2 linked regions of the Danio rerio genome follow. The protein of the gene in region 2 binds, or shares a complex with, the protein of the main gene of each other region. Links are inferred from orthologs where the notes say so. Each region holds a gene or a part of one and is shown on either strand. Other genes may lie near its edges.

Evidence for each region.
Region 1: eif3ja (region 2) and eif3s6ip share a complex: the UniProt entries of both Homo sapiens proteins name them as parts of the eukaryotic translation initiation factor 3 (eIF-3) complex. The link is inferred for Danio rerio from reciprocal best matches to the Homo sapiens genes EIF3J and EIF3L.

The regions. Positions count from the first base shown.
Region 1 is NC_133188.1:46,827,995-46,831,869, forward strand, and holds part of eif3s6ip (eukaryotic translation initiation factor 3 subunit L), read right to left. Parts: intron 2,551-3,875; coding exon 2,489-2,550; intron 2,338-2,488; coding exon 2,268-2,337; intron 1,422-2,267; coding exon 1,348-1,421; intron 480-1,347; coding exon 308-479; intron 229-307; coding exon 74-228; intron 1-73. UniProt on the Homo sapiens protein: Component of the eukaryotic translation initiation factor 3 (eIF-3) complex, which is required for several steps in the initiation of protein synthesis.
Region 2 is NC_133200.1:34,325,255-34,329,905, reverse strand, and holds the start of eif3ja (eukaryotic translation initiation factor 3 subunit J-A), read left to right. Parts: upstream 1-1,542; 5' UTR 1,543-1,634; coding exon 1,635-1,656; intron 1,657-1,793; coding exon 1,794-1,882; intron 1,883-2,352; coding exon 2,353-2,410; intron 2,411-3,654; coding exon 3,655-3,746; intron 3,747-4,155; coding exon 4,156-4,273; intron 4,274-4,362; coding exon 4,363-4,527; intron 4,528-4,612; coding exon 4,613-4,651. UniProt on the Homo sapiens protein: Component of the eukaryotic translation initiation factor 3 (eIF-3) complex, which is required for several steps in the initiation of protein synthesis.

The sequences.
Region 1 (3,875 bases), on a different chromosome or scaffold from region 2:
GCAGTATTGCAAAGATGCTAAAATAACACTTCTCAAACATTACTAGTCTCCAGCGATTGAGATATTTTCTTACCTTCTTGTTGAGCTCGATGTTCTCCAGGACTTTGATAGCCTGATAGTAATCCCCCAGCAGAGAGTGAAGCCTCAGCAGACCCACCAGACTGAAGTAACCCAACATCTTATAGAGAGAGTGTCGTCCGTATTCTCCAGCCACAGACTCGGGGTCTCCTGTAGACACAAACACAAGCATCACACACTGAGTTCTGCACTGTTCCCGCAGCTCAGGAGTCTGCCTGACACTCTTCACCTCCGCTGGTGTAAACCTCCAGCTGACGATTGATGTTGCTCTTGTCCACCAGAGAGTGAAGGACGTTCAGCACGCTGTGGACATTCCAGATCTTAGGATTATTCCTCAGGAACTCGATCTCCTCTTCTGATTTCTTAGCCGTCTTACAGCGATACTGACTGAATGACTGGAACTGAGAGAGAAAAGGTGATTCAGCGTTTAAGATTTTAATAAAACCGTTCATCTCATTAGATGTGCTACATAAGGGATAAAGTGCATCCAGGCGAGTGTTATCAGATTATTACATGTCTGTCTGGTTGATTGGTCAGTTGTGACATTCCAAGGTATGTTATTTAAAGATAACGACCGCTGATTAACACAGGATCATCCGGGAAACGGATATAAATAGGTAGATAAATAGGTTCACATCCATATACTTACACCCACATTGATGTGTATTTGCTTGTTTGTCACGCTGCTGTTTAGTGCAATCTTGTGAATTAATAATATGTAGGTTATTATATGTAAAAACTAAAAAGGCTGAATAAAGCTGATGGATCATACACCAATCTATGTATGAAGGCTGAATTATATTTATGCAGAGTGATCGCCTGTAAACCACGGTGCATGCCTTGCACATTTATACTTCTGCATTCTGTTTGTGTAGCTCTCCAATAACACTTCCGATACACTAGCTGGCAGGGTTTCAATGTTCCCCTGTGTTGAGTTTCTTCGTGGGTGTTTTGTTTACATCGCTCATTCAGAGGCAGGAACCAGCGGAAGTACAACAACTTTAATCAAAGTAAACAAAACAAAAGTCCCCACCTGGAGCTCCTCAATGGGACTCAACACTTGTTAAACACTCGCTCCAATGGACTCACAGCTCACTTGCTGTGTTATTAGTTTCAGTGGTTGTTATCGGTCAATAACATACCTAGTAATGTTGTGATAGCCCAATCTGAATGAAATATTTCAGACAGCCATACATTAAATACTACAAAAAAACCTGTCCAAATGCCGAAACAAGAGATCTCAATTAAATACAGGCTGGTTGCTCTTACCTGGTAAATAAACTCATCAATGATGTCCCATAACCACTGGTTAGGAAGCTCCAGAGGTGCCGGTCCATCAGCGTCTGAAATAATAAACCATATTAATCGTATATGCACAAATATAACTCATAATCAAACTCAAGGACTGGGTGATATAAACAAAAACTTTACAGTCTTAAACTAGTACTGTTGAAAATTTGGACTCTGGAAGAACTAAACATATTTTAAAGGGTGCCTTTATTAACTCAAGTACAATAATATTGAGATTTCTGTTTTTCTATTTGAATGTGTGTTAAAAAGATTTATTCCTGTGATGCAAAGCTGAAACCAGCCTTTACATTTTACATTTACAAAAAACAACAATCAACAAATCAAGTCCACATCTTCAGATTATCTAAATATAAAAAATAAATGTTGAATATTTGGTAATTAATTATAACTAACATTATTCAGATGGCTTCTGCTAACAGAAAATGAATAGTATTTTATTTAAAAGCATTTTTTCTTGAAGAAATAGTTCACCCAAAATTAAAGGTTAACTCATTTTTTCACCCCTGAGTGTTTCTAAAGCTTTATGACTTTTGTTTCTTAAGCTTTGTTGACCACAAATAAGTATATTTTGAAGAATGCTGGATACTGAAAGCCATTAACATCTATAGTAAGAAAAATCTACAACAGTGGTCAGTGGCTACTGGTCTCTAACTTTCTTCAAAATGTCTTGTGTTCAACAGACAAAAAAAAAAAAAAACAAGTGGATGGTTGGTAAATGAAAGAATTTTTATTTAAGTGAACTATCCATGTAATCATTTTCAATAAATATTCACAATGATGCTTAAATTTAATATCACCACTAAATTAACCCCAAACATTTGAAATATCCCCCCAAAGCATACTTTATTTGATGTGGTTTGTGTGTTAGTGTGACTCACTGAGGATGTAGTTGAAGAGGTTGCAGTAATTATAGTAGGACTCAAACCTCTGGTCGAGAGTTGGGCCTCCCTGCATATGAGAAGCAGGCATTATTAAATATCAAGAAAACAACATGGCTCCTCACATCAGCTGAAACTCAATCTAAGGTTAAGCCTATATTTGCAAAAATAAATATTCACAACTAGAAATCACATTCGGAGATAAATGAGCAAACACTCACGCTGACTTTAGCGTAGATGTGCCTGTAGTACAGCTCCTTATACAGGATCAAGAAAACCGCATCTGTTACATAAAAAATAAAGAAAAAAAGATTAGTGCTGTTCAATGATTAATCAAAAATAAAAATTTGTATTTAAAATATAATTTTGAGCGTATTGTGTACATTTATTATATTTATAAAATATGCATATCCATGTCTACAGATATTTAAAATATTTATATATAATATTTTACATATTATTTAAATGCAAATATTTTATGTATTATTATTTATATAAAGCATAAAATTATTTAAAATATCAATTAAGTATTTTTTAGAACGAATATATTATTTTTATATAGCTTACAATCATATCTGGTATATTACATTTTAAATGTCTATCTATATATAGTGTAAAATTATATTTATATCAAATTTTAAATATTCTTAAAAACAGTATTTATATATAGCTTAAAATCATATCATGTATATACATCAAATTTTAAATGTTAAATAAATGTTGATTATTAATATATAGCGTAAAATCATACATGTACAAAAATGCTAACAATTTTGAGACTAAATTATTTATATATAGCTTACAATCATATCTTATATATTACATTTTTAATATATTTAATATATTAAATTGTCTATATATATATATATATATATATATATATATATATATATATATATATATATATATATATATATATATATAAATATATAAAAGCCAAAATTGCTCACGACATTTTTATATATATATATATATATATATATATATATATATATATATATATATATATATAAATGTCATGAGCGATTTTGGCTTTTAACGATTATGAAAAACCATTAATCGAGATAAACGATTATTCCATCACGTACCGCCCCCTTTCCATTGTACACGTGTGAAAACTCTGCCTCTGCAAAGCTCAGTTCCACATGAAAATGACTAAAAGCATGTGCTGTAATGTAACTTTTGCAGCACGGGATGCGCATCATTCATATTTTTAAATGCGCAAAAGAGCAGGTGCTGTTGTGTGTGTGCGCACCATGCTTTGCCTCTGACAGGTAGCGTGTGTGTGTTTGCGCGAGCGCCGCGCTTAGCCTCGGACAGCAGAGCACACACACATCTAACGCGATCTTAATGCGAGCGCTTTAATGGTCAAAAATACATGCACATTTGTGTCAGAGCGCAGTGTTTAGTGATTATTCACATTAACCCTCATTTGTGTAATAAACAAGTTGAGAATTAAAAGACACGTGAAAGAGAAACCATATCAGAGCCGTACTATTCTTAAAAATACAGCGTGCAGTATTCCTGCTGCTGTCGACCGTTTTTATCATCAATCAATAATAAAATCAAAAATACAGTGAAGATGCTTAAAGCACAGTTTAAACAACA
Region 2 (4,651 bases):
TAAGAATAATACGTGAAAGTGTAAGTTATTAAGATAAAGTTGGTTTTTATATTCACATATTCATTTAGTGACAACTTGTGACACACTCCCTATATTGTTTACCACGGCACTTTGAATATTCGATCTGAAAAAGCTGCAAGTGTGACTTGAAAACAACATTAGCACTGTTTATTTGACTGTGAGCAATGTTCTACTTCAATAGTCATTGGCGGCTAATATGATTTTGCTATTTAGAGTTTGCAAATAATACTTTTATAAAATTATATTATTAAGGAGAAAGTCAGAATGTGTGAATATAAAACCAACTTTACCTCTATGTGTAAGTTAACGTTGGCTCCGTCTGCTTTCCTTGTCTTTGGCCAAGCAGAACCTCTGTTTTTAGCACTACATAGTTTTGAATCTGGTAATCATGGAACATTATTTCTTACACTTATTTCTTAATCTTGTTAAAACACTTGGAGCTTCGATGAGAGAGTTGTATATTTGGGGCAGGATGCTTGGCCATTTCGTCTTATCCAATATTCATTGGGAGGGTGCTTTCGCGACTCACATCACTCACTTTAACGTTAATTTTGCCAAATCACTGTACTTATCACTGGGTGACAAGCTGTTATAATACGTTGAAAGCATTATGTAAATCATGCATATATATATATATATATATTAAAAAAAATAATATATATATATATATATATATATATATATATATATATATATATATATATATATATATATTTATATATATATATAATAATATATATATATATATATATATATATATATATATATATATATATATATATATATATATATATATATAATATGTAATCAGTATAACTTACTTCTAAGTCAACAAACTCCGCATCGGATGTCATTCCCTCGCTGTAAATGCTAGCGCTCCCCTTTTTTTTCTGCCACTCCCTGCGCGCGCATCCTGAATGTTTAAAAACATGGTAATTCGTCTATAAGGTTCCTTTAATAGCATCGATGTTGTAATGTAATTGAAATACAATCAGTTTAATAGACTTAATCATTTATTAAGTTGTTTAAGTGTAAAACGAGATGAACGATTGCGTAAACGCAAGTGTCATCAGTAGAAGCGTGCTAGTGCAGAAACTCCACAGAAAATACATTTCCATATTTTAAAGACATAACGCAAGAAATCAACTTAATGCAGTACTTCTTGTCCAGTCTAGACCAACTTTATTTCATATATCAATCAGGAAGTAAAGATCACATTAAAAAAAAGAATTCAGATCTTAAAAGTCAATGTACATATACTCAATTTAATTGGACAAAATCAGTAGTGCAGGATGAGTCAATATTTTTGTTTGTTTTCTAGAAGCCGCACTAGATCACACACACTACACAATCTAATAAAAGTTACAGTTAGCAAACAAATGATTGTCTTGAACTAATACACAATCTAAAAGCCACAAAACGACATTTTATTTGATTGTGTGTTAAAAAAATTAACAATGTCTGATAATGGTATTCCTCATGGTACTGCACAATTTACTTGTTTGTAAAATTTCCCTACCGTCCATCGGTGGACCTTTATTTTGAAATTTCCGGAAGTCTTGGTGCAGTGAGTTGAGCTTCACTCTCTCGTTCCCCTCAGCGACTCTGACATCATGGCGGACGCCGATTCTTGGGGTGAGAATTTCTTAAACTCCACCGTTATCTTTCTCTTCTATTCGCTTGGAAACATATAATCTTTTCTACCAGATAAACGTACGCCAAAAATACGCCTGTCATTAAGTGATCTGTCTGAACAATCGGTCGTTTTCCAGATGCGGACAGTTTCGAGCCTGAGGAGCCCATCAAAAAGGCGGCAGTTCATGACAAATGGGAGGGCGAGGATGAGGACGACGACGTGAAAGTTAGTAACGAACCCTTAATTTGTCGTTCTCAAGTAAAAAAAACTGTTTTAACTCTTCTTTAATCCCTACATATCAAGACATTACAGTTGGCTAACTTTAGCTAGCTACTCTTGCTAACTCAAGAGTGTCAAAACAACGTGGTGATAAGTCCTAATACGTGTCTATTTAGTTTGGTGTATACCTGCTTAAATACGCTGTCATAAGTTAAACAGTGAAATTATAGTAATTATATGAGTCAGTTCCATTTCTCTAGGCCTTTAATTACAATTAATAGTTTTGTTAGTGTAGATGGCCTTTTGTAGCAGCATGTCACTGTAGATTGTCACCTGTTGATTATTTAAAATTATTGGATCATCCCAAGGAGATTTCATAAAAGGAAAGTTTGAGAATGTTAATGCTTCTCTTAGGCTAGCAACGAAGATGAAGTGGACTAATTTATTAATTAAAAGTATTCTTCCTTTCCATTTAGGATAATTGGGATGATGATGAAGAGGAAGAAAAGGAGGAAGAGGAGGAAAAAAAGACAGGTACAGTGATGTTCATGAGTTGGGGGAAAAGTGCATTGTTAGGATAAAATGGGGTCAAAGGCCAAAAAGGATTTTGAAGCATCAAAGCATATGTTGCGCAGTGACCATGAGGCTATCAGTGAAGAACAATAATAATTTGATGATATATTAAACTATTTAAGCAATCACGTTGAAGCCTCAAAATACTTACTGTCATTTTTAATCTTTGTAATTTCGCCTTTGTCCTTTAAACCAAGTTCAATTACTTATAAAGCAAGTTTTTAAAGTACATAAAACTAACTTTATACAAAGCAAAAATTATTTAAAAATTTTTTTTTTAATAATAATAAAGTATTGAGAAACCAAGAGAAATACTAGAACTACTAGGTTTTATCTATTAGTATCTATTTACCATAGATTTTAATACTTTTAAAAATTCATAAAGTTTAAGTTAATTTGTTTTAAGTACAGGTCAAAATAAGTATACATTACACTAAATGACGAGAAACCCTTTTCACAATATTTCGACATGCTTTTTTCACAAATAATATTTGAAATATTACATCATCTCATTTGACATGCTAACTGTGTATATCTGCACACCAAAATGGGACGTCTGTTATGAATTTTTTTATTTTGTAGTTGGCTCTATAACTAAATAAATCTACATGCATGAATATACAAACTATTTTAAAAATATTTTTTTAAAAGACTGTAAATTATCCACATTTAAATTCACATAATTACAAAGCATCTGCAGGGTCCTAAAAGTCTTAAATAGTCTTAAATTTCAACTACATTTTAGGCCTTAAAAACTCCTAAATTCACTCAAATATTGTGTTTTAGGTCTTAAATAATTTTAAACAGGTCTTAATTTTGTTTTGTCCAAGTAAAGTTACTCAACCGAAATCCATCCAATCATCCACAATGTGTCTCAATAAAACCTTATTTTTTAAATTAAAGTTTTTTTTATTGCAAAAAGATACATTCCCAACAGCTGTTAGCCATTTCTTACAGAAAATTCCCCAAATTAAATGGCCTAATCAGGAGAAAAAAAAACTAAAAATGATTACTCAATTCCTCAGGACAATACCAGGCCATTAGGATAAATCTCAACCCTGCATAAGTCTAAAATGTCATTCTTAATGTCTTAAAGGGGTCTTAAAAACTCTTACATTTGAATGGATGAAACCTGCAGAAACCCTGATCAGGTACTTCAGTTTGTAACGTTTGTATGCGATTTTGTTTGGATTTTTCATATGCAGAGGCTAAACCTACAGAAAAAAAGAAACTCAGTGAAAAGATAAAAGAAAAGGAAAATTTACAAAGGAAAAAACAAGAGGAGCTCAGAAAACAAGTAAGTTGGCGCAGTAACAATTTATTGATATTAAGCACATTTAATTCACATTGTGGGTTTTTATTTTTTTATTTTGCTGTCACTGTTGAAGTTTATCTTGATATGGCTACAAACTTTGAACTTGTATTATAACTATAACCATTCATGAAGGATTTTGGGGTAAATATATCACAGTTTTAACAAAAAATATATAGCTGATTATAAAACATTGATGATAAGTGTTTCATGAGCAGCAAATCATATTAGAATGAGGATCATGTGACTGCAATAATGATCCTGAGATTTTGAGTTTGACATTTCAGGAATAAATTAGATTTTAAAATATATTATAGTACAACAATTATTGTAAATGCTATTCATTTTGTAAGAATATTTTTCATTAAATGTATACAACATTACATTTTTAAAGCAGTTAGAGGAGACAAAAAGAGACACACCACTCACACCAGAAGATGAACTGGCAGAGAAACTCAGAGTGAAACAACTACAGGAGGATTCAGACTTAGAACTAGCAAAAGAGGCATTTGGTGAGTGCTTTCTGTATATAACATGCATCTACATTTGTTTTTAAAACGGATAAAAGATTCAATTCTGAACTTTTATTCTCTCTTTTTAGGTGTAGTTTCAAATAATGTTACCGGAATCGATGCAATAAGTCCCTCTTCGAAAGACGACTTCACAGAGTTCGAGAGGTTGCTAAAAGAAAAAATATCTCCCTATGAGAAGTCTATACACTATTCCGGCTTTTTAGAAACACTGTTTAGGGATCTGTGTCTTTCATGTGAGTATGCTTCATTTCAGCTGACTGTTCCGTCATTCTCATTGTAAATCATGTATTTTGCTGACATTTTGAATTGGTTTTGCAGTGGAAGTTGAAGACTTGAAGAAAATTAACACCTCACTAA